2 linked regions of the Astyanax mexicanus genome follow. The protein of the gene in region 1 purifies or fractionates together with the protein of each later gene. This does not show direct contact. Links are inferred from orthologs where the notes say so. Each region holds a gene or a part of one and is shown on either strand. Other genes may lie near its edges. The genes, in order: inpp5ka and gart.

What was found.
Region 2: the proteins of inpp5ka (region 1) and gart purify together in Homo sapiens (co-immunoprecipitation; 3 studies listed by BioGRID and IntAct, counting the BioPlex papers as one, with this or other methods). This does not show direct contact. The link is inferred for Astyanax mexicanus from reciprocal best matches to the Homo sapiens genes INPP5K and GART.

What each region holds. Positions count from the first base shown.
Region 1 is NC_064425.1:30,523,938-30,536,860, forward strand, and holds the start of inpp5ka (inositol polyphosphate 5-phosphatase Ka), read right to left. Parts: upstream 6,593-12,923; 5' UTR 6,171-6,592; coding exon 5,929-6,170; intron 3,579-5,928; coding exon 3,474-3,578; intron 1,173-3,473; coding exon 1,064-1,172; intron 1-1,063. UniProt on the Homo sapiens protein: Inositol 5-phosphatase which acts on inositol 1,4,5-trisphosphate, inositol 1,3,4,5-tetrakisphosphate, phosphatidylinositol 4,5-bisphosphate and phosphatidylinositol 3,4,5-trisphosphate.
Region 2 is NC_064428.1:7,037,848-7,050,430, forward strand, and holds the start of gart (trifunctional purine biosynthetic protein adenosine-3), read left to right. Parts: upstream 1-6,901; 5' UTR 6,902-7,047; intron 7,048-12,459; 5' UTR 12,460-12,468; coding exon 12,469-12,583. Other genes in the region: uncharacterized protein LOC111193577, read left to right, coding at 88-240, 989-1,158. UniProt on the Homo sapiens protein: Trifunctional enzyme that catalyzes three distinct reactions as part of the 'de novo' inosine monophosphate biosynthetic pathway.

The sequences.
Region 1 (12,923 bases):
TCTTTGAGCCACCTCTATATAAAATATCCCACCAAATTGACCCATTTTAACAAAATAAAAAAATATGTCAATAACCACTTAGAGGCTTGGTGAGAAGCAGTAAAATATAGAAAGTAGTCAGTCTGATGCTTTTCTGTTCTATATGACCAGTGGAAGAAACAGCATTCAGACAGTCAAACCACACTGCTAATTTAGCTACGGACAAATCCGCATTATTCCATCTTATAACTGACGCAGACACAGAAGAACTGAATCTTCAAGCAGCAGGCCAACTCTAGCCAGGTTTAAAGCCACAAAAATGTTGTTTTTTTTTTTTACCTCATTTTCTTCCTAATTAACAAGGCCAGTATTACCCAACCCATTCATTAGGACTCTTCCTATCACTAGTGATGCCCCAACACCAGGAGGGTGAAGACTAGCACATGCCTCCTCTGACACATGTAAAGTCAGCATTGCCTTGTAGAGCGCACTCGGAGGAAAGCGCAGTGACTCAGTTCTGATAGATCAGCTCACAGATGCCTCTGCTAATCAACATTACCCTTTGGAGGGATGTGGGGGGAGAGAGAGCACCATTTACCCACCCAGAGAGAGCCAGCTCTCCTCAGTAAGGGCAGTTAGTTTATTAGTTGGCTCAGCTGTGTGTAATATGCTGTAAGTTAAACTTATGGCCAGAGTTTGCTGGTGTTGCACCGAAAAGAGTCCCCTGCTGATCTCTGCAGCTGGGCTGGGAGGTCAGTTCACTCCGCTGTAGCATTAGCTTAAAGCTAGCATTTCTCTCATTACGACTCTTAAACGATCTGGTAATTCAGAGGATCCAGTGGTGTTTAGTAGTAAAATGTACACAGAGTAAAACGTACAGGGGTCTGAACAGATTTATTTACCACAGAATGAGATAGAGTCGGGAAAAAAACACGGAAGCTATATGAGGACCACAGAATGACGCACGACTTCAGTGGTCTATTCCCCCATTATTTTCCAAATTAGCTTATTACGCCATTAGCAACATAGGTCGAAATCCAAGTATGTCTATCAGAATAACAGAAATGTATTGAAATAGCAGTACTTTAATATAACCCAGAGGAGCCAGCATGTTCATGAACAAATGACTCCAGGAATCGTCAAAGGCCAGGTCTGTCACAAACTTCAGGGGGGCTGCCCTCACCTCCTGCAGACTGGGGGAAAACACAAGTAGACACACTTAGACACACACTCCTTCTTACACTTACTGCACACTCGTACTGGACATAAATAAATAAGCATTTTTTTGATGGTTTGCAAAAACCTACATTAATAATAACAGGAATATTTATGTTTAAAGGAAAAAACACATAATATCTATTTATGACAATATGTATAATACACAGACTTTCATAGTCACATTACTAAATGAAAAACACACAGTGATCTGAACATTGTGTGGCTGATAGTTAGATAGAAGGAAAGCTAAACCACCTACTAACTATTTAACTTACCTTATATTTGAGTATATATATATATATTTAGATTTTATATTTCTATTGAGACATTCATTTAATAATCTTAATGAATTGTGCTAAATGAACAGTGCTTTACTGACTCAGTATACAGTATGTTTGCTGATTCTCAGCTGTCACGCTTCAACAATGTAAATACATGAATGCAAATGTTGGGTGTGGAGCGACCAAGAATACTTTTCTGGTGAATCTAGTTTTGCCAGACTTCCACTGGCTGCATAAACTCACCAATGGCTTTTTATTAAAAGGACGACTATATGCTAAACATTTCCGCTATATATTTACTGCTTTTTATAAACTAGAATATTATATTTCATCTACTGTTCCATGTGACCTTATCTGCTAAAGGACTCAAGCCTGGTTGCCCTTAGCTATTTAAAATGTTACCACATATTCATAAAACAATACTATATACAAGTTTTTAGTTATGAATATATGCGTCCAGTACCTCATAAACATGACCTGTAAATCATTCACACACAAAAGAATTGGTTTCCTTATATGTGATCTTGTAGTACAGGAAAACATAGAAATAAAACCAGGAAAAGAACTACACACAGCCAATTGATGGCTATGGCTGAATTTCTTGACCCTGCTCTTTTAGTTTGTAGTGGGGGTTAATAACTAAAGGCTAATAAGGCTATAACTAATTAGCCTTTAAACCTGTAATGCTGCCAGTCTTTTTAACCAAACCATGTCAAAAACTCGACATAAGTAGCGCTGAGAGGTTAATTAAATGACTATTTTAATGCAACGTTCAAAGTGGGTTAATGGAAATTGTACATCTTTAGATATAGAAACTGCCATACAGAATCTCAGTAGATAGGTTTGTGCTTCTATCAGAAACCTGTAAAGAGTAAAGAACTTTTTAATGTGGCAGATCATTATTACAAACACTGCTTCTTAGGCTCAAGGAAGCTGCTTGCTATTCTTAGTTTTTTATTTTGTAATTGTTTTATGCAGGGTTTGTTGTGCTTGGATGGTTTGAATAAAAACAAATGTAAAAGACTGATTTTGATAAATGTAAAAGAAGCATTCATTTCTATATTCGATATATCTAAATTGTGCTGTTTAATACATTTGTAGTTGTGCCAAAATAGTAACAAAGTAATAAATAAATAAATAAAACTGTCATTATAGCCCTATCTGGACTAAAAAAGTTTGCATCCAGACTGCAAAAGAAAAAAAAAAAAAAAGGAGGACCAGTGTGTTTTTTTGGCTTTCTCAGTCACGACATCGCATTCAGTAGCTCCTCCATTTCCACTCACTGGGTTTACGTGAATATTCGGGGAAACGTGTGCACAAGGTGTAATTACGGTGCATAGCAGTAAACAAATAGCTATTTTATTAAACGCGAGGTGACAACAACAACTCAGATATGTTTACAACGTTCAGTGAAAAACAGTAGATAATTTAGCCTGTAATTTTCTCAGAGGACTCAGACATCTGGATAGGGTTTTAGTTGTTCTTTAAAAAAAATAATAAATAAATAAATAAAGCTTAGTTGAGAATTGATTTAATTTTAAAGATTTATTCTTTTTTTATTTATCCAATTGTCTGCCTAGTTTTCTCATCCTTTGTTTTGCCCACTTTATTTCCCTCTTAAGGAAATGCACTTCCCTCTTACTTCTGCAGTTTTTCGTTGTGTGTGTGTTTGTCACTCTTTTTACATCTGTGTATTCTATTTGATTTCACTATTCTACTTGTTGTAAATACTGTTCTCTGCACACTAGTGGGAACCTGCACCCAGGTTTTTCACTCACATGTACACCTGTACTCTGTGACGTGACAATAAAAATTGTGAATCTTCTCTAGTTTAAAACCTTTTATCTCTGCAGATAATAGAGTTTTTACAGTAAAAATGAGATTCAGGCCTCTAATCTAATGTAGGAGCAAAGGCCAGTTTAAAAATATTAACAATTCTCCTTTCAGACTTTAAAAGATTTTTGCATGGATATTCAAGCATGACTTCAAGCTCACCCGATCACATAAAGGTCTGCTTTCTTAGAAGAATGAAGCTGTAGCAGTGAGCTGACATCTTCTGGAGGTTCAGCTGTAGCCACGTTCCATGTGACCATATAGAGCCTGTGGGGGGTTTAAAAAAAAAAAAAAAAGATATAAATAAAACTTAGCAAAATTAAACATAATACTTTAATACGACTCAAAGCAGAAGTAGAATGGGTTGATTAAGCTGTGAGTAATGTGAATGGCATGTTTATCCTCCTTGGTATGTTTTATCCTAATTCTTGTGTTTAACAAATTGCCATTTCAAGAAATTGGCACATTCCAGGCAAAGTACGCTGCAGATCAGGATCTGAGACTTCCTGTCTAATCCATCTTAGCTATTTCTAGTGTGACAAAAACAGTACAAATTTTTCTCTCTAAGAACTCTGCTTTTCAGACCTTCAGATCAACAAACACACAGATACACTGAGCCCATGACTGAACAAAGGTCTTTCTTTTTCTTCAGGAACACAAAAAAGAACTGTAGTATCAAACAAAAATGGCTATTATTATCACAAGAAAAAAAAAGGCTTCCAGAAAATGCTTCCTGGCCTTTTCCAAGAAAATGCATCCGCTCTCTTGCACTTCTAAAAATAACAGAGCTACAAAGGCTTTATTGAGAGACAAAACAGAAGAACTGTTTTTTGAAAGTGATGTGATGTAACCTCCAAACTAGTGAAGAATCTTTTCATCAATTTCTTAAAAACTTTAAAAGATTCTTTATACAAAAATGAACAAAATTGGTTCTTAAACACCATCAATAAAATAACCAATTGGAGCACTTGTACTGTTAAGAATGCCATATCGTATTGTATGCAACAATACTGCCAACATTTTTGAATATCGTGAATGACATTGTAGCCTGAAATATCATGCTTTAATTACCCACCCCTAATTAACACATCAGGGTACTAGTTTTTTGCTATTTTTAGCAAAAGAAAAATTCACACTGTTTTTATTTCCCATTATATATCTACTAGAGACAGATTATATCTGTCCAGTATCATTTATTTTACTTTAATCCTGGAGATATGGAAATATATGGAGTGCATTATTAATATCAGGACATTCTGGATCATAAACGTCTGTTTCAATAAAATTCTTGTTTTTTTTTTTTGTCTCAGTTAAGGGTGTGCCATATCATATCGTATGCAATACCATTTATTATTTATTTTATTTATTTTTTTTGCAGTTGAGTATTATTGATTATTTTTTATTCAGTGTTTTGTCATATCGCCAAAAATATCGGTATCACAAAGATACCCTGAAATATCGTGATATTACTTTAGGGCCATATTGCACACACCTACTACACAATATATTGTTTGTTAGGTGCTAAGTGCTATCGATATATTGACCTTTGACCTGCAATATAAATATTTCTTACATTTGTACTGTGTTGTAAAGAGGCCCAAGTTTTACTGGAGGGGTTGTGCATCAAGACGTTTCTATTAAAAACTGAATCAAAATAATGTTTGCTGACACAGATATTCAAATGCAGACGAACAGCTTGTCATCAGATCAGATATCTTGGGGATAAATTTGGGTGGGAAAGTGAGTTTGTGATCAAGAACCACAGTATATCAATCAGTATCTGACCTTACCAATTTGTCTATAGCTGAATGCAATCAAATCCACACAACAATGCTCTAAAATCTATTACAAAGCATTACCTAGACAGAAGAGACAGTTATTCCAACAAAAACAGAAAAACTCTATTTTTAAGACTCTTAATTTCTGAAAAAACAATGAATGACCTTCAATGATCTTGATTTGCATTACATTTATTTTCTGTCTGGCTGCAAATGCAGTAAAGTAAGTAAATACGTTGCCCAGGTTTACCTGAACAACTATTCTGGTTTTCAACAAACACAATCAAATACTGGTTTAAAATTTTTGTCCAGAACTCAGAATTTTGTTAAAATCAAGAAGCATGTGACTGTGAATATCAAGAAGAATGAAGAATGCGAGAATTGTTTTGCAACCCTATGTAAAACCAATATGGCAACCCTATGTAAAACACAGTTAATACTGAACCTGAACTGATCCTTTTGGAGTTGCAGAGCTTTCTGCCCACAGATCTCGAACGCTTCATCCAGGGTTTTGGCCACCTGGGCATGAACTCTCTTTGTCCATAGTCCACTTATGACTATATCTATCTTGATTTGCATTACATTTATTTTACATTTACATGTAAATTTACATTTTATGGCTGCAAATGCAGTACAATAAGTAAAGACGTTGCCCAGCTTTACCTGAAAAACTATTCTGGTATTCTAGAAACACATAATTCAGTACTGGTTTAAAATTTTAGTAAAATTTTATATTTCTAAAACCAGAAACGATTTAACATCAACAAGAATATAATATTGTTTGGCAACCCTATGTGAAACCAATGGCAACCCTATAAACCCAATTAAAACTTAAAAACCTGAACTGATCCTTCTGGCGTTGCTGAGCTTTCTGCCCACAGATCTCGAACACTTCATCCAGGGTTTTGGACACCTGTGCATGAACTCTGTCTTTAGAGTTCAGGTCATCCATGCAGGTCATGAGCATGGTAAGCCTCTGTCGCAGGAGCATCCGGCTGCCTGTGGACTGAGTGCCTGTGCTGTTCACGCTGTCCGAGCGCGGACGGGCCTTGGTGCTGAAATGCTCTGTAATCTCCTCCATACTGTCTCCACCGAATCCAAATTCTCAAGAAGTCTCAATCTTCAACTAATCTTTAAATTAAGATAATGAACAAGACCGTTGTCCACTTAATTAGTATAAAATAAGGATGGTTAAGAAAGTCTCAAGTTCAGCCAAATCAATGAAAGAAAACTGTGAGGAATTTCTCAGCTTTAGTGTCGTGGTAGCTTGTAGCTCACACTCATTCAGAAAAGGCAAAAGTACATGAGCTCTAGTGGGCTGGACTTCAGACTGGCTTAGGGAAGAATTACTGTAGACTCAAATCAGAGCCATGTGAGCACACAAGCTATTCAGGGTGTCTGCAGGTAAGAGGGGATCAAATATGAAACGTTTTAAGACTTTTACTACCACTCGGACTAAATTTAGAGCGCTTTCCCAATGCAAACCATACACTTATTTGTGATTGTGTTTCCTGTTCCCTGACAAACCAATATTTCAAACAAGCATATATTAACAGTTTTTTTTTTTTTTTTTTTACAAAAACGGACCTGCCTGAAAATAGGGTTCAAGTGTGAAGTTGGGATTATGTAACCTCTGCAGTTACACCTACAGTTTACCCATAGCTATAATACAATTTTCACTAGCAACAAGCAATGTGGCTAAAAAAAATAGTGCCCCTCAGGTAAACATATCTGAAAATAGTGCCACTCGGGTAAATGTATCTGAAAATAGTGCCACTCATGTAAATGTATCTGAAAATAGAGCCCCTCAAGTAAATATATCTGAAAATAGCTCCCCTCATGTAAACATACCTGAAAATAGCTCCCCTCAGGTAAACATACCTGAAAATAGCTCCCCTCAGGTAAACATACCTGAAAATAGCTCCCCTCAGGTAAACATACCTGAAAATAGCTCCCCTCAGGTAAATGTATCTGAAAATAGCTCCCCTCAGGTAAATGTATCTGAAAATAGAGCCCCTCAGGTAAACATACCTGAATAGCTCCCCTCAGGTAAACGTATGTGAAAATAGCTCCCCTCAGGTAAACATACCTGAAAATAGCTCCCCTCAGGTAAACATACCTGAAAATAGCTCCCCTCAGGTAAATGTATCTGAAAATAGAGCCCCTCAGGTAAACATACCTGAAAATAGAGCCCCTCAGGTAAACATACCTGAAAATAGAGCCCCTCAGGTAAACATACCTGAAAATAGAGCCCCTCAGGTAAATGTATCTGAAAATCGCTCCCCTCAGGTAAACATACCTGAAAATAGCTCCCCTCAGGTAAACATACTTGAAAATAGCTCCCCTCAGGTAAACATACCTGAAAATAGCTCCCCTCAGGTAAACGTATCTGAAAATAGCTCCCCTCAGGTAAACGTATCTGAAAATAGAGCCCCTCAGGTAAACATACCTGAAAATAGAGCCCCTCAGGTAAACATACCTGAAAATAGAGCCCCTCAGGTAAACATACCTGAAAATAGAGCCCCTCAGGTAAATGTATCTGAAAATAGAGCCCCTCAGGTAAACATACCTGAAAATAGAGCCCCTCAGGTAAATGTATCTGAAAATAGAGCCCCTCAGGTAAATGTATCTGAAAATAGAGCCCCTCAGGTAAACGTATCTGAAAATAGAGCCCCTCAGGTAAACGTATCTGAAAATAGAGCCCCTCAGGTAAATGTATCTGAAAATAGCTCCCCTCAGGTAAGCGTATCTGAAAATAGAGCCCCTCAGGTAAACATACCTGAAAATAGCTCCCCTCAGGTAAACATACCTGAAAATAGCTCCCCTCAGGTAAGCGTATCTGAAAATAGAGCCCCTCAGGTAAACATACCTGAAAATAGAGCCCCTCAGGTAAATGTATCTGAAAATAGTGCCACTCAGGTAAATGTATCTGAAAATAGAGCCCCTCAGGTAAACATACCTAAAAATAGAGCCCCTCAGGTGATCATACCTGAAAATAGTGCCTTTGTGTCCAGAGTTAAAAAAAAAAAAAAAAAAAAAAGTTGAATCAATGTAAATGTTTTTAATCTATTTGTTGTTACTTTATATATTATATATATATTGTACTTTTTTATTTAGCATATTTAAATATTTCTTATATTGGAAGCACAACGTCTGTTCTTAAAAAAAAAAATAATAGTTTTACTGTAAAATGTAATAGTATTATTATGCTAGCTAGTATTTTATGTGGCACATTGTCTTAAAGCTCCTTTGGGATTCCAGATGCAGGAAAAAAGCATTTTCTATAGTGTCCCTTTAAAATGACAAAATTATTGTTTATTGCAATAACTTCTGGGACAATATATCGTCCCGAAAATGTTGTATCGTGACAGGTCTAGTGAACGTAGCTAAAAATAGTGCCCCTTGGGTGAACGTAACTGAAAATAGTGCCCCTCAGGTGAACATACCTTAAAACAGCTGAACATAGCTGAAAATAGCACCCCTCAGGTAAACATACCTAAAAATAGCACCCCTCAGGTAAACAAACGTAAAAATAGCACCCCTCAGGTAAACATACTTAAAAATAGCAACCCTCAGGTGAACATACCTTAAAACAGCTGAACATAGCTGAAAATAGCACCCCTCAGGTAAACAAACGTAAAAATAGCACCCCTCAGGTGAACATACCTAAAAATAGCACCCCTCAGGTAAACATACCTTAAAATAGTGCCCCTCAGGTGAACATACCTGAAAATAGTGGCCCTTGGGTGAACATAGCTAAGCATAGTGCCCCTCAGATAAACATACCTATAAATCACCCCTCAGGGTCCTAAAAAAATGCTTTTTTGTTACATTTACACATCCTCTGCCAACTAAAAGTAACGGACATAGCTAAAAGCAAAGCCTCTTAGAGTCAAAAATAATGCTGTCAGTTCTGATCAGTTTATTTAGCTGTAAAATCAGGAAGCTAACTTAGAGGTTAGGAAATGTCTCTGAAGCTGAGGTCTGACTGTAATCAGAACAATAAAGTGTGATAAAAACTGCTGCTTTACAAGTGACCCCTTTTCCAAACAAAGACCATTCATTCAGCGGTTCAGCCTGACATGTGGTGAGAAACTTAATATCTTACTTTTTGCTTACAAGACTAGCCTTTTCATTCTGTCCAAAGTGAAAGGCTGTACTGTTCACAATGAGGATCTAAAGTGTTAAAACATGATTTTATCTGAGCTTTTTTGCTGCAGAGCACAAAGTGTGTGTATATCTCACACTGCCATGTTTTGAGCATAATACTAAACCAGTCAAACAGAAAGACAGAAATAAAAAAGGTGACCTGAATGAGTCCAGTTTTTGGTCCAGACTGATGGAGTTCAGGGCATTGGACAAGGCCTCCTCCTGCTCCATCTTCACACCTGTCAAACACACACACACACACACACACGCAGAATTACTGAATTATAAAACCAAAAACAAAGCCAAACAGCAAATATATTACATTACGCATTATATACAATAAACCACTGCTACTACTTAAAAATAAAAGTTTAATTGCTCTCAATTCTTAGGTTTACTTTATCAATACACAAAATATTCATAATATTTAGATCCAGAAATATTGCAAATAATCTGTTAATTTGTTAACAAAATGTACTAATCTTATCCAAAATACATAACTCTTAATTTCACATAAAATTTTTGACTTAAGAATGCTACTGTTGCTTAATACATAGTCATGGTTGTAACATGGTTGATGAAACAAATTTGTCATATATTGAAAGTAATTTTATCATTATCAGTGATACAAAATTATACTCTAAAATTAAGATGCCTCAACTGTCAAATAGAAAGTATTCAGGAATATTCTAACAAAAAATTGAAATGGATAGAAAAAAATAAATTGGCTTATTAGAAAAAATAAACCAATGAAAAATAAACATCTGGTCCACACAAATGATCACCATAGTCTTTATTACAATCAAATTTATATTTATATCTTTTCATACTGTAATGTAGCTTGATATATAGTAAAATTAGTACTAGTCTTCACAAAATTAGCAATCAGCATGTATTTAACTTATCAATCTTCCTAAATTTCTGACATGCAAAGGGTCAATTTTCAAAAACATTTAGGGGTGAAATGAGATTTCCCATTTGGCAAAAAATGCATTAAAATTATGCACGTGGCACATGTATTATATGCATACACATCCACAGGTTTTGCATTATATGTAATATTAATGTAATGTAATGAATGTATGTTTGAGGGAAGTTAACTAATGTCTAAAGATGAGGTCTGTTGTGTAGCAATCTACAAGCAATGAAACTGTATGATTATTTAGAGATAAAGACAGACATAGAGAGAGAGAGAGAGAGAGACAAGAGAGAGAGAGAGAGAGAGAGAGAGAGAGAGAGAGAGAGAGAGAGAGAGAGAGAGAGAGACAGGGAATTTTTAATTGACAGTAAAGTAAAAAACTTCATGTAAAATATAAGAGAAGTGTAAAATGCCATTATCCACGGTACAGAGAGAATCATTAAAACCCCCCACATCTTCAAAACCATCAATAATTTACACTGTCTAAATCCTTGACTGTATTAAAACTTTTAAAACCTGACAAATAACACCCGAATCTGACCCAAGATAAAATTAAGCAGATGGCACTTTTTTTCTCAGTTTCTGGCTGTACGGAAAAGCAAAATACTTAAAGGTTATAACTTATAACTAAAAGCTAAAACAATGTAAGTAGTTTAACTCTTAGATAAATAAACAACTGAGCCTAAACACTGGCTAAAAACAATGAGCGAGAGAGAGAAATATATATTTGAATGAAAATGTAACTGTTATGCTGTTTAGGCAGTACACCATCACTGTGAACCTTTAGTTATCTATCTGTGTAAGTTCAGCTAGTCAGACCCGGACCTGCTGCTAACCGCGCGTTATCACCACACTCATCTCTAACACAGAGACTCAGACGATTTAAACACAACGAAGGGATATATAGTTATAATCTACCTGCTCTGTCCCTTTTCCCGAGTCTAAAGAGTTCTGTAGCACTCGGTAGAAGGAGTGTTAATGTAAACTGAGCTCTGGTTCCTCAGGTCCGTGTTTATATTCCTCTCCTCCCATCCATAGCGCTGCTGCTACTACCGCCGCGGCTGCCCAGTGAAGCTCACCACAAATACATCGCTCCAATAATTTCATAATAAGAGTCCTTGAATAAAAGTCCTTCTACTTTGTGCATATTAAAACGTCTTACTGTTACTTTCCGTTCTTTTACTATTTCATCATTACTGTAACATCAGCTATTATATAAAATGGTGTTCTATACACAAATATATAGTGTTTTATACACATTTAACTATTCAAGCCTACTTGGATCCTTTGCTTGGGGAGTGGAGTGTGTACAGTTTCCACCTAACTACATAGAATGGAGCAGTATAATTTCTATTCTAGATACACGTCAACTGTGCAAGACAGACTCTAAAATGTTCTATATATTTTTTTATTTATTTGCATTTCATTATCCACTGTATATTTTTCTTCAGTATATGATTTAAGTTAACTATCCCATACAAAATGTCAATTTTTATATTTATTTACTGTATTCTGTGTCATATGTAACAATATAGTTTATTCTATATATTTATTATTATTTATTTATTTTGGTTTTTGTTTGAAGTCAGCTTAGTTTATCAGAGGGACAAATTGACAGGCCGTATCCAAAAATTCGTCTTAAATGTGCTTTTTTTTGCCAAAGTGACACAAAACTAAGCATAAATTATTCTATTAAGCTCTTGTTTACCCACTCACTGTAAAAAAGTGACTTACATTTTACTTAAATTATACTTGAAAAATTACTTTAATATTACATATTTTGTGGTTTATTAAAAATATAGTTTGCTTTAAACCAGACATCCCAAGTTGCAAATATTTATTTCACAGAGGTACCCCCACACCTGAAAAAAAAAAAAAAAAACACTGCCCACCCACACTAAAAACTGATTGGCTGACTCAGTCTTTGCAGAGAACAGGCCAATCAGAACCCTCTCTTTTTTGCATGCGCTTCATTAATATGCACACGAGGGAAGTGCCCATCTCTCCCTCTCTTTCCCACAAGCGAATGGGGGAAAAAAGGCTGTGTCTGCGTGAGCGTTTGTGTTCACTCGTTCTAGTTTCCAGGAGATTTTATCTGATTTGCTGCCATCAGGGGGCCGTTTTTGATACGCGGTAGACTCCCGCGTCTTCCGGAAGACTTGGGAAGTCTGGATGTCACATGTGTGCAGGAAACCTCATTTATTTTTTTTCTTTGTGTGGGTTTACTGTGATACGAACGGGGAACGGAGTCTGGTTTGCCTGAATGATGGTAGGGGAACGCAGCTGAATGATGGTAAAAATGTTACTACTGTATTGGATGTCACTTTTTCTTTTTCTTTTCACTGTGGAGGGTTTTTAGAGTTTTTTTGAGTTTTGAAAGCCAATAACTATTTCATTTTAATTTTTTTCAAAATAATGCTTGTTATTTTAGGATTGCAGGACTTAAAATTGTTAGCTAGAAGCTGGATGTTGTGGATAGATAGAATTTAGTACAATGCTTCATGCTGGTAGTTTAAAGCAATTTAAAATGATCCCTTTTTGAGTTTACCTGTTAAAATCTCTTAGCCCCCTACGGACCATAAATCAATCATTATGCATATCCAGCAGTGTATTAGACACATCATACCACCATTTACTTTAAGTGCCTTAGACAAATCTAGAAAATGCAGAACAGTGGGAAAATGTAGAAGAATATGCAAGAACAGGGTTGAGAAACACTGCTGTAACGTGAAAGCCACAGTAATAACACATGTCCTGAGTAAATAG
Region 2 (12,583 bases), on another chromosome or scaffold:
TGTCTGGATTTTGCCGTTAGTGTCGCTAAAATATAAATTTTGGCCAATTACAGTAATATTAATCTGATTGCTTCTTTGTGTTTACAGCTGGTGAAGAAGACGTTCATGTACGTCTGTGCAGTGAATCTGTGCTGCTGATCCGCCGTGAAGACGTCTTAAACAGGCTAACGCTGGACTGCCCACTCTCACTGATCTCAGATCAGCAGGCTGACCCCCGCTGGAAAACCATCAATGTTGAAGGTACTTTAAAAGTCTGTAGATATGTTTGGTGTCTGTTTACTCAGTTTACTGCGCTTTCCCAAACTGCCAAATGAAAGATTGGAGCTGTACAGGACTAGGATAGTAACTTAGCTGAGATAACTTAGCATCTTATTGTTTACTACAAGTCTGTCTCTCTTTCTTTGTGTGAATTTCACTCATGTAACTTAAGTAGCACTGCTGAGGTACATTTATGATGAGAATAGCACTGCTCAGGCTCCGAGTGGTCCAGTGGGCTAGGCGCTGCCCCTCTGATCAGGAGATTGAGATTTCCGGTTCGAATCCTGGTGATGTAGCTTGCCATTAGCTGCCTCCAAGTGCGCTGTGATGCTGCTCAGTAATGCTGCATCAGCAACAGTTCAAAAAGAGGTGGCTGACTTCACATGTATCAGTGGAAGCATGTGTTAGTCTTCACCCTCCTGGTGTGTTGGGGCATCACTAGTGATAGGGGGAGTCCTAATGAGTGGGTTGAGTAATTGGCCGTGTAAATTGGGAAATAAAATTGAGTAAAAATTATAAATAAAATATATATATATATATATATATATATATATATATATATATATATATATATATATATATAAAAGAATAACACAGCTCCACATGCTCTGCTGAATGTTACTTCTTTATTGTAATTTTAAGTGTTTTTTTTTTTTATTACAGTAAAATTGAACTACACTATTTCCTGTCCATATCATTGATTGCTTTCTTTATTTTTTATTATTTCTAGGTCAAGTTAAGCAGATGATAAATGAAGAAGACCACAGTGATCAGGACCATCCAAAAACGACGCACATAACCATCCCCGCAGCGTACAGCTCTGGAATCACGCTCTTCACTCTCAGAGACTCTGCAGTTGGTCAGGAGCTGCTCGGTGCTCCAGAGCTGCCTGTGTTATAGTCAGCAGTTCACTATGATCTGCATCGTGTCTGGACTTGTCCTTCATGCAGCTCGTTGCTGTGCTTCTTATAGATGATGTGCAATTGAAGTTTTGTGTCAGTATTTTAATCTGTACGAAAACGATTAGCGAGATTTTTAACACTGTATTCTCTGGCAGACTGGTAAAAGGTGGAAGTTTTGGCGTGTTGCACTTGTGTAAACTTGTCCACTCTGCTGTTGTGAAGAACATCATACTTTTAGATGTGTAAAACTGATTTATTTATATAAATTAAAAGCCTGGAAATCAGTGTACTGAAGGGATATGGCAACACAGTGCACTGGTTTTCAGTTCTACCTGTGTGAATGCATCTTAAATATTTTTATCTTATTATTAGGGGTGTAACTTTGCAGAAAATTCACGGTTTGGTTCACACCTCGGTATAAACCCCACGGTGCAGTATGTTTTCAATACGTTTTCGGTACGGTTGGTGGAAAAAAACAATTTCATAACAATGAATCTTCATTATAACCATGTTTAGTTTTTGGGATGGAATATTGTAACAGGGCTCGAGCTCTTTTATTAAATGCTTAAAACCAGGGTTCTCTCCTACTGTCATCATCAAAGCCTCCATCTTCTGGAGCCTGATTGTGGTGCTTTATTAAGAACAAAAACAACAGCATTGTATTACACACAGAGTGATCTATTTTAAGTGTTTATTTTATTGATGATGATTTTGGATTACAGCCAATGAAAACCTAAAAATCAGTATGTCAGAAAATAAGAAAATTATATAAGACCAATTGGTACTTTTGGCAGTGTCGGCAGTGTGCCAAATCCTGCTGGAAAATGAAATCTCTCTAAAAAAAAAAATAAAAAAGAGAGACATGTCATCTGCTGGTGTTGATCCACTGTGTTTTATTATCAAGTCTAAAGTCAGTGCAGTTTTGTTTTCCCACAAAATCTTACAGCACTTCATGCTTCCCTCTGCTGCTGACAACTTTTATGGAGATGCAGATTTCATTTTCCAGCAGGATTTGGCACACTGCCCACACTGACAAAAGTACCAGTTGGTCTTACAAAATATATTGGGTTTTCATTGGCTGTGAGCCATAATCATCAACAATAAAAGAAAAAAATGTTTAAAATAGATCACTCTGTGTGTTTAATACATCTATATAATATATGAGTTTCACATTTTCAACTGAATTACTGAAATAAAATGATTTTTTTAATGATATGATATTTCAATGATATTTACATTTTTTGAGATGCTCCTGTATTTAATAGTGTTTAGATGCTGGGTAAGGCTGATGTGGTTGCGATGTCATGATTGTTATAGCTAATGAAATGTTTTTTTTTTATCTGTAGTGTTTATGATTATTTTAATAAACTGATGAACCCGTAGGAGTTCATTTCTAAATATTGATATCAAATACGAAATTCCAAAATAACTGAATTGGATACATTCAGCTCATGCATGTTTTTATAACTGTAAATATATATATATATATATATACGTATATATATATACATATATATATATATATATATATATATGTATATATATATATATATATATATATATATATATATATATATATATATATATACGTATATATGTATATATATATATGTATATATATATATATACAGTTGTGGTCAAAAGTTTACATACACTTGTAAAAAAACATAATGTTATGGCTGTCTTGAGTTTTCAATAAGTTCTACAACTCTTATTTTTCTGTGATAGAGTGATCGGAACACATACATGTTTGTCACAAAAAACAGTCATAAAATTTGGTTCTTTCATAAATTTATTATGGGTCTGCTGAAAATGTCACCAAATCTGCTGGGTCAAAAATATACATACAGCAACATTAGTATTTGGTTACATGTCCCTTGGCCATTTTCACGGCAACTAGGCGCTTTTGGTAGCCATCCACAAGCTCCTGGCAAGCTTCAGGTCGAATGTTTGACCACTCTTCTTGACAGAATTGGTGCAGTTCAGCTAAATGTGATGGTTTTCTTGCATGAACCCGTTTCTTTAGCACTGTCCACATGTTCTCAATGGGGTTTAAGTCAGGACTTTGGGAAGGCCATTCTAAAACCTTAATTCTAGCCTGGTTTAGCCATTCCTTTACCACTTTTGATGTGTGTTTTGGGTCATTGTCTTGTTGGAACACCCAACTGCGCCCAAGACCCAACCTTCGGGCTGATGGTTTTAAGTTTTCCTGCAGAATTTGGAGGTAATCCTCCTTCTTCATTATCCCATTTACTTTCTGCAAAGAACCAGTTCCACTGGCAGCAAAACATCCCCAGAGCATAATACTACCACCACCATGCTTGACAGTAGGCATGGTGTTCCTGGGATTAAAGGCCTCACCTTTTCTCCTCCAAACATATTGCTGGGTGTTGTGGCCAAACAGCTCAATTTTTGTTTCGTCTGACCAGAGAACTTTCCTCCAGAAGGTTTTATCTTTGTCCATGTGATCAGCAGCAAACTTCAGCCGAGTCTTAAGGTGCCTTTTCTGGAGCAAGGGCTTCTTTCTTGCACGGCAGCCTCTCAGTCCATGGCGATGTAAAACACGCTTGACTGTGGAGACTGACACCTGTGTTCCATCAGCTTCCAAATCCTTGCAGACCTGCTTCTTGGTGATTCTTGGTTGACTCTTGACCATCCTGACCAATCTCCTCTCGGCAGCATGTGATAGCTTGCGTTTTCTTCCTGATCGTGGCAGTGACACAACTGTTCCATGCACTTTATACTTGCGTATAATTGTCTGCACAGTTGCTCTTGGGACCTGTAGCTGCTTTGAAATGGCTCCAAGTGACTTCCCTGACTTGTTCAAGTCAATAATTCGCTTTTTCAGATCCACACTGAGTTCCTTTGACTTTCCCATTGTAGCTTTTGTAGCTGAGTCTAATCACTGGGTCAAATGAGCCCTATTTAAATGGGCTCATGAGAAGTCAACAGCTGTAGTCAATCAGAATCACTTACAAGAAGTGTAGAGGCCATGACATGAAGCTAATTTGATTGACACAACTCGCTACATCACCAAAATTGACAAATTTTGTTGCTGTATGTATATTTTTGACCCAGCAGATTTGGTGACATTTTCAGCAGACCCATAATAAATTTATGAAAGAACCAAATTTTATGACTGTTTTTTGTGACAAACATGTATGTGTTCCGATCACTCTATCACAGAAAAATAAGAGTTGTAGAACTTATTGAAAACTCAAGACAGCCATAACATTATGTTTTTTTACAAGTGTATGTAAACTTTTGACCACAACTGTATATATATATATATATATATATATATATATATATATATATATATATATATATATATATATTAATCCTGATTACACAACAATTTGTATAACCTGTATTTGAACATTTTGTTCCAGAAATCAGGTCAGTACTAATTATAAAGAATTCAAAACATTTTATTAAAACATTGTAATCATTAAACTGGTTAAAACAGAGCTGTAGAAGGAGAAAAAAGTACTTTTTACACAAGTTTTATCTCCAGCACTCCAGCACTCCTATATTCTGTGTAAATAAGGTGAGGTGAAAGAACACAGGACACTACCCTCTGTCCTGTAGTGATGCACTTAGGATGTTCAGTATGTGTCACTTAGTCATAATAATAATACACCATATATACAGCTCTGGAAAAAATAAGAGACCACTTAAAAAATGTGTTACTTTGATTTTATCGAATTGAAAACATTTGGAATATAATCAAGAGGAAGATGGATGATCACAAGACATCAAACAACCAAACTGAACTGCTTGAATTTTTGCACCAGGAGTAAAGCAGCATAAAGTTATCCAAAAGCAGTGTGTAAGACTGGTGGAGGAGAACATGATGCCAAGATGCATGAAAACTGTAATTAAAAACCAACCAGGGTTATTCCACCAAATATTGATTTCTGAACTCTTTTTTGTTATTTCAGTCATTTCTCATTTTCTGTAAATAAATGCTCTGAATGACAATATTTTTATATGGAATTTGGGAGAAATGTTGTCTGTAGTTTATAGAATAAAGCAACAATGTTTATTTTTTATAGGAATATATACCTATAAATAGCAAAATTCAGAGAAACTGATTCAGGAACTGAAGTGGTCTCTTAATTTCCAAAGCTGTATATGATTTGTTCTTTAAATGGCCATATATAGTATTTATATTTACTAACACTACTGTATATTACAACAAAAAATCTTATATTTATTCAACTTTAAAAACTCAACACCCTAAACACTTAATCAAACCACAGTATTCTACTAAATAAGTAGACCATTATTATTAGATTTAGTGCGGCTATGTGTGAGGGAGATGTGTTTTAGACATTTACAGAAATACAGAAAAATAGCCTATTGGTTTAAAACAATATGCAACATTTAACATTTAACTACGTTTACTCCAGTGAAGGTTTAAAGACATTATTTCACATTTTTCTACAGTAACATTTCTGCAGTATCTTTGCTTTAACTCAAACACAGGGTTTGTATTTTTCCTCCACCACTGCTCTAATGCGACTACAGACCAGAATGAACTACATTACCCATAAGCCCCTGGAACACATCGCGGAAGTGTGAGCAGAGCCGTTATGAAGTTAAAGGTGTGAGTGTGTGTATAAGTGTGTGTATAAATGTGATCAGTGTGCTGCTATGTAAACCCCGCGCGCTGTATTATAGATTATAGTAATTTATATATACGGGATTATCTGTGCTGGGTGTTCAGTCAGAGCGCTGAAACTGAAACACGTGTTTGGTGATTCTGATACACAGCGATCCTACTGATCAGTGATCCGATTCAGTTCAAAGAATTGATTTTTTTATTTCAGACACTTTTAAACGAATTTAACAACAGATTCAATGAATCAATAAATCGAGTCAAATATATAATTATTAAATCTTTACAATACGATTAAATACATGTATAAGTTTATTAGTAGCGAGCTTTAACTGTAACTCTAACTGTATATATTAATTTAATATTTTATATTATACGTTTATATTGTATATTTATATCTTAAGCAGCTGCTATGAATTCTTTATTATTCTATATTTTTTATTTTATTTATTTGTATTATTTTGCATTTTGCCCTTATTTTGTTATCTTTATCTGTTTATCTATTGTAAGTTTATTGTTCTTTGATATGTGTGAATACTATTGTGATTGTTACTTTCTTCTTCATATACCTATATCTAATCGTTGTTTTTTTTATTATTTGTGTATGTATGTGTTATTATTATTATTATTATTATTATTATTATTATTATTATTATTATTATTATTATATATTTATTTTATTGCGCAACATATAATAATCAAGAACATCCAAGATTAAAAAAAAAAACTTGACAACATATCTCTTACTTTCTGTCAAATTAAACTTGTTTATATACCTTAAAACACATTTTTTATTACTAAGTCACTTAAGAAACTACTATTATTATTATTATTATTATTATTATTATTATTATTATTATTATTATTATTATTAATAATTTATGTAATTATTATTTTACACAGCATGTCTCAATAACATCAAAAATGTAAAAAAAGCAGACACAGCTTATTTTTTATTTATTTATTTCTTTTTGCACAACATATCAAATATGAATAAAATATATTTTATTATTTTTTTATAACTTTAACATGTAAACCTGTTGCGTCAGCGCCACAAAACTTTCTGGGATTCATTTGAGTTTGTGAGCCGAGTTCAAAAGAATCGATTCAGGACAAACGATTCTTTCAGGAGTTCCACACGAGCAGACTCCCAGTTCACACCAGTACAGACCCGAGTCCTTCCACTGGAACCTGGACCGCAGCTGGAGCAGCAGCACCGCACACCCCGAGCCTTCCCTTCCCTCTGTACTGACTCCAGAACAGGTGAGATACAGACTCATCACCTGCTGAATCCTCTGTACTGATCTGGGATTAGTGTTTAGAGTTTATCTGCTGGGTGAGGAAAGTTACTGTAGCGTTGCTTCATCTGAATTTTCTTTCACCAGTATCTTCCTGCTGCTCACATGGAGCTGCAGCTCTCCGTCACTGGGTTTATTACTGGGTTTACTGGTGAGATAGACTCTCCAGTTGTGTTTTAAACAGGTAACGTTTGAGTTAGTCCGCGTGCAGCTCTGTGCTGGTAACATGCTTAACTCCTGCCTCGTGAATCACATGCCTGCAGCCACCAAACCAATTTAATCACTGCAGTAAATTGGTTGCCTTGTGTAGCATTTTTGCGTAAATTAATGTCGCTTCCTTTCCATGTTAAATTCATGCTTAAATAATCGTTTGTAAGCTTTGGGAATTGTATCAGTGGGTTTTTGTGCCATAGGTCAAACAGGGTCACTGTGAACCTGGGTTCTTTTTTTAAGGTGGACCAGGTACAGTTATTGGTGTATGATTTGCTTCCTTACAGATTTCACCTTTTTTTTTTTTTTTTACCTTTTTGTCCCATTTACATTTTTCGGATGATCAAACAAACTTCAGACAAAGATAACCAAGATAATCTGAATATTGATCATCTATCACTTTGAAAAATGTTACAAAGACATTTCTAAAGAGAACATGGAAGACTGGTGAATCAGCCTACTCCAAAGGGCATGGACAACTCATCCAGGAGGTCACAAAAGAACCCAAAGCAACATTTAAAGAAGGTTTGGAAAAAAAAAAAAATTGCAATTTCCAGGCCATGATAAGTTTTGGAAAAATAAAAATACCCAGAAAGTTTTGGAGAAGTCATGGAAATTTGGTCTACAAATCTTTGTTTTTCAGTTTATCGATGGAGAAAATCTATATTAAGCTAACAACAAATACGTCAGCTCAGAGTTAATTCAGTAATTTAGCCCGACACTATGGAGCTCTCAGCATCTGACACATTTTATTATTAAAGATTGTGTCAACATTTTTATCTGATTTGTTTTAGACCTACTAAAACCAATTTTAATTATACTTATATAATTCATGGAAATTTATGGTTCAAATGTGTATGAATCCTGTATAGAGGTGCGACTATTTACTTTTTTGTAGTAGTTGACTAATCTGCGGAATAGTTTTTTTCCAATCCAGTGCATGTTTTACTGCAGCTTAACAGCTTCATATTTAGGTCAATAGACTGATTTTGATTGTTGACTGCAAGATAGGGATGTACAACACAATTTGGAACATTACTGTGAATTACTTGGTAACAGATGCCTTTTGGGTAGTGTACCTCTTGGTGAGAGATTGTTGACTACTAGAGATGCCTCTACAACACAGTAGAAGACAGTATTGTGATTGAATTGTAATGTATTTTGTGGAGTCCCACAGGGTTCTACTGTAGGGCCTATAAATTAATGTTAAAAAAATATAGAACGGTAGTTATTACAGTTACTTGAAATTACTTGCATTTGGGCTCTATACAGATTAAGAACTAATACCAGACATTCGTTATAGTGCTTCTGTTGGTCAGGCAGATTGATAAGTCTATTTAATTGTATGGTTGTCTGAGTTCCTGCTCCTGTGACATTTATGTTGTATATGGATTTACTGCCTTATGTGTGAATAAAAGGTCACTAATTTCTTCAAGCTATTAAAATGTTGGTTCCAATCTCATGATTGGTGCTCTATAGGTCACTTTATTCATTCAATTAAACTCCCTGCATATACTTATAAACCTCCACATACAAACCTTATCTAGTGCCTGTAGAAATGTACTGCCAGTAGAATAGGACTCCTTTGAGCATGAATCTATTGGCTGCAAAGCTCTCCAATAGGGGTGGGCAATATTATATCGTATACAATATATCGTGACACAGAAATATCTTGATATTAATAATCCATATCGTGATAATAGGGATGTTCGGTCTTAAAAGTAGTCTACTGTTTACTGTGAAGCTTTAGGTTTATTTATTGTATAATATAAGTTTTAGTTTGCAGTTTATATGCATGCACTAAATATTCTGCAATATTATTTGCTGCATTATATTATTTTATGCTATATTATTTTTTTTGCCACATTTATGATTATTCTGTCATACTATTATACTATATTCCTGAAATTAATTAATTATTTTAGTTTTCCTATATCACCAAGTATATCGTTATCATAAAAATACCCTGAAATATCGTGAAATTATTTTAGAGCCATATGGCCCTATTTACCTCACTGGTGATCTTGCTAGATTAGGGCTGCACGATATTGGAAAAATAAATGAAATTGCAATATGAAAAAAAAATAATAATAAAACAGAATTTAACACCAAATTTCGTCATTGATCCAAGACCAGGACAATATATTGATATTTTGTTGTATTGTGATACATTTTCTTATTGTATCAATAATAAAAAAAATAAGGATATCATCAGTACTTAAAGAACACCGACCCAACTGTACGTTTCATTACAGAGAGTGTAAAAGAATCCTGTTTCATTGGATGATGTGCAGCAAAAACTAAATAGTAAGCACTCTATTTAATGTGAAGGAGTATTTGAAAAGCAAAAAAAGCAGAATCTGCCACTGCTGGTGCATTTAGTCTGTGTGCCAAGCCATAATAAATTCTACGCATCGTGAAAATGTCTTTAAATATCATGATATATTATTTTTACCATGTCACCCAGCAGCTCTATCAGTATGTCAAGGGTGCTGGCTTTTATCTTATTTATAACAACTTCGGAATTGTATCATATCAACCTTAATTGACAAATATATTGTGATAAAAAAATGTTGCCATATTGTCCAGTACATGATATTAATATTCCAATATGTGTCTCAATTATAAATATGTGATAGAAGTAACTGTACCATAGCAGTTTCAAGCAGCAAAAAAGATGAAACGTAACAAAAAATAATTTAATGTTGCACAGATCCGTAAGAGCCCAGACCCATTTCTAAATATTGATGCCAAATTTCAAACTAAAGGGGCACTAAACCGCCTGATTTTAGCTGACTCCACCTTCAGCTCAAATTTTAAAAAGACAAAAAAATGGAAGGGACACTGGGTGATGTATGGGTTTAGAGGCAGAACAGGAGGGGGAGCTGAATGGCTGAGCTGCAGCTGCAGCACTGTGCCTCTAATAGCAGTAAGGTTGGATGTCAGCAGGAGGGTGGTGTTATTGATTGACTGATTTGCATATTGTGATTTGTCTGCCTACCAAAGTACACAGACACATCATCCTCACCTATAGCACAGCTGAACCTGAGAGGGCGCTGCAGAGGCAGAAAGTACCGCAATAAAAGCATTTTTTAAAGGTTAGGAAATGTTTATAAAAGTTTTAAGCAGGTCTGTTGTGTTTTATTATTTATTTTATTCAACGGAACATATTTCAGCTATTATAATTTAGGGTTTAGTGGCTCTTTAATTCTGAACGTACAGTTCAGTGAGCAGTGGCCACATGACTACCAGTAAATATTTTAAGATAAAATTCTTGATGCTACAAATAACACAACAATTTAATATTATAACTTGTATTTTAACATCATACTCTAGGAATTGGGTAAAAACTAGTTATTGTACGGAATGTAAAACATTAATTAAAGTATTTCAATTGTTAAATGATTGGAACAGAGCTGTAAAAAAAATACACTTTTAAAAGGAACTGGTTTTGTCTGCAGCAGTAACCCTAGCATTCTGTAAATACTTTGTTTAGTATGCATCACTTAGGAACGTTAATAATGGGTTATGTATAACCCATGTGATGTATAAAGTGTTGTGAGAAATTTTACACAGCTTTAAAGGGTCTGTGACACATGGGTCACCATTCATTGAGTTAATTGAGACATCCCCCTGGATGTGTCTTTGTTAGATTATTTAATCATGTTTAAATGCCTCCATGCTGTTGCTCCAGAGCTGCTCAGTGATAGATTTATCAAGATATGTGTTACGGTTACAGGTCTGAACTTTGGAGTGTCCTGATGACCTGTGCACTGTTGGAAATCTTTGCCCATTTAAACAAAGAATCAAGAGCATTCTCTTTTTTCTTCGTCACTAATCTCATTTATTAAGGTCCCAGCAGGTTATCTTAATTACATAAAGAGAACAAAATAAGAGAGCACTTAAAAATGATGAGTTTCTTTGATTTTACCAAATTGAAAACCTCTGGAATATAATCAAGAGGAAGATGGATGATCACAAGCCATCAAACCACCAAACTGAACTGCTTGAATTTTTTTGCACCAGGAGTAAAGCAGCATAAAGTTATCCAAAAGCAGTGTGTAAGACTGGTGGAGGAGACCATGATGCCAAGATGCATAAAAACTGTGATAAAAAAAACAGGGTTTATTTCACCAAATATTGATTTCTGAACTCTTATAACTTTATGAATATGAACTTGTTTTCTTTGCATTATTTGAGGTCTGAAAGCTCTGCATCTTTTTTGTTATTTCAGCCATTTCTCATTTCCCCCCCCCCCCCAGAGCTATATTATTATTTTTTTGGTTAAAAATCAATGTGAAGCAAAGACACTAAGGGTGAGGAACACCAAACTTGGCCACAAGGTACACCAAAATGACACTCATTGGCCTGATGGTGGCGTTATAGCAAAGCATCATTCGTTTTGTCCAATAACTTCAGAACTGTAAGACCTATTCTCAAAATTCTTTTTAGCACTCTTTTGTCAATGTGAACAACAGTGCGAACAAGTCCTAGGATTTTTTTTACTAATCTTAAAATGTTTGGGATCAAACTCCTCAGGAAAAGTGTGATTCTCACCAGGGCAAAAAATGTCGATATTTTTATACTTGATGGCCGCCACATACAAATTTATAATTTTAGAACGAAACCAAACGTACTCAGGTGACAGCTATAACATTGTAAGGCCTAAACTGATTTAAAGAAAACTTCACAAACTTATTTAAGACTGATTCTGTGCAGACATGTCAATTTGTTTCCTGATGTACTCCTGAAGGGGGAGGAGTCAGTGCTAAAAAAAATAAATAAAATAAAAATAAAAGTTTCTCAGGAACCATATAACCAATCCAGTTCAAAATGCAGCTAATTTAATCTATATCCCATGTTGTAATTATACACCAAAAGTTGATTTAAAAAGGAAAAAAAAAGAAAATGCCAATCACTTTTAGGAGATGTGTCCACGTTTAAGTGCATTTAAGTGCTATTTTGTTTACACGTTGCATTCTGGAACAGATTTTCTGTAAATGTATATTATGTATTTTTGTGGGACTAAGTAAACCCTATAGTAATCAAAGCCAGTAGAATACGCCACAAATCCATATAAATCCAGTCCCATATAAAACCCCAGTCATGCAAAAAATAATCTTTTAGGTAAAACTGTGTCATGATTGGTCAGTTTTGTGTTTTACAGACAGGTGCCATGGCGGAGCATGTGCTCGTGATTGGCAGTGGTGGGCGGGAGCATGCGTTGGCGTGGAAGCTGGCGCAGTCTCCTCACGTCCAGAAGGTCCTTGTGGCCCCGGGTAACGCGGGCA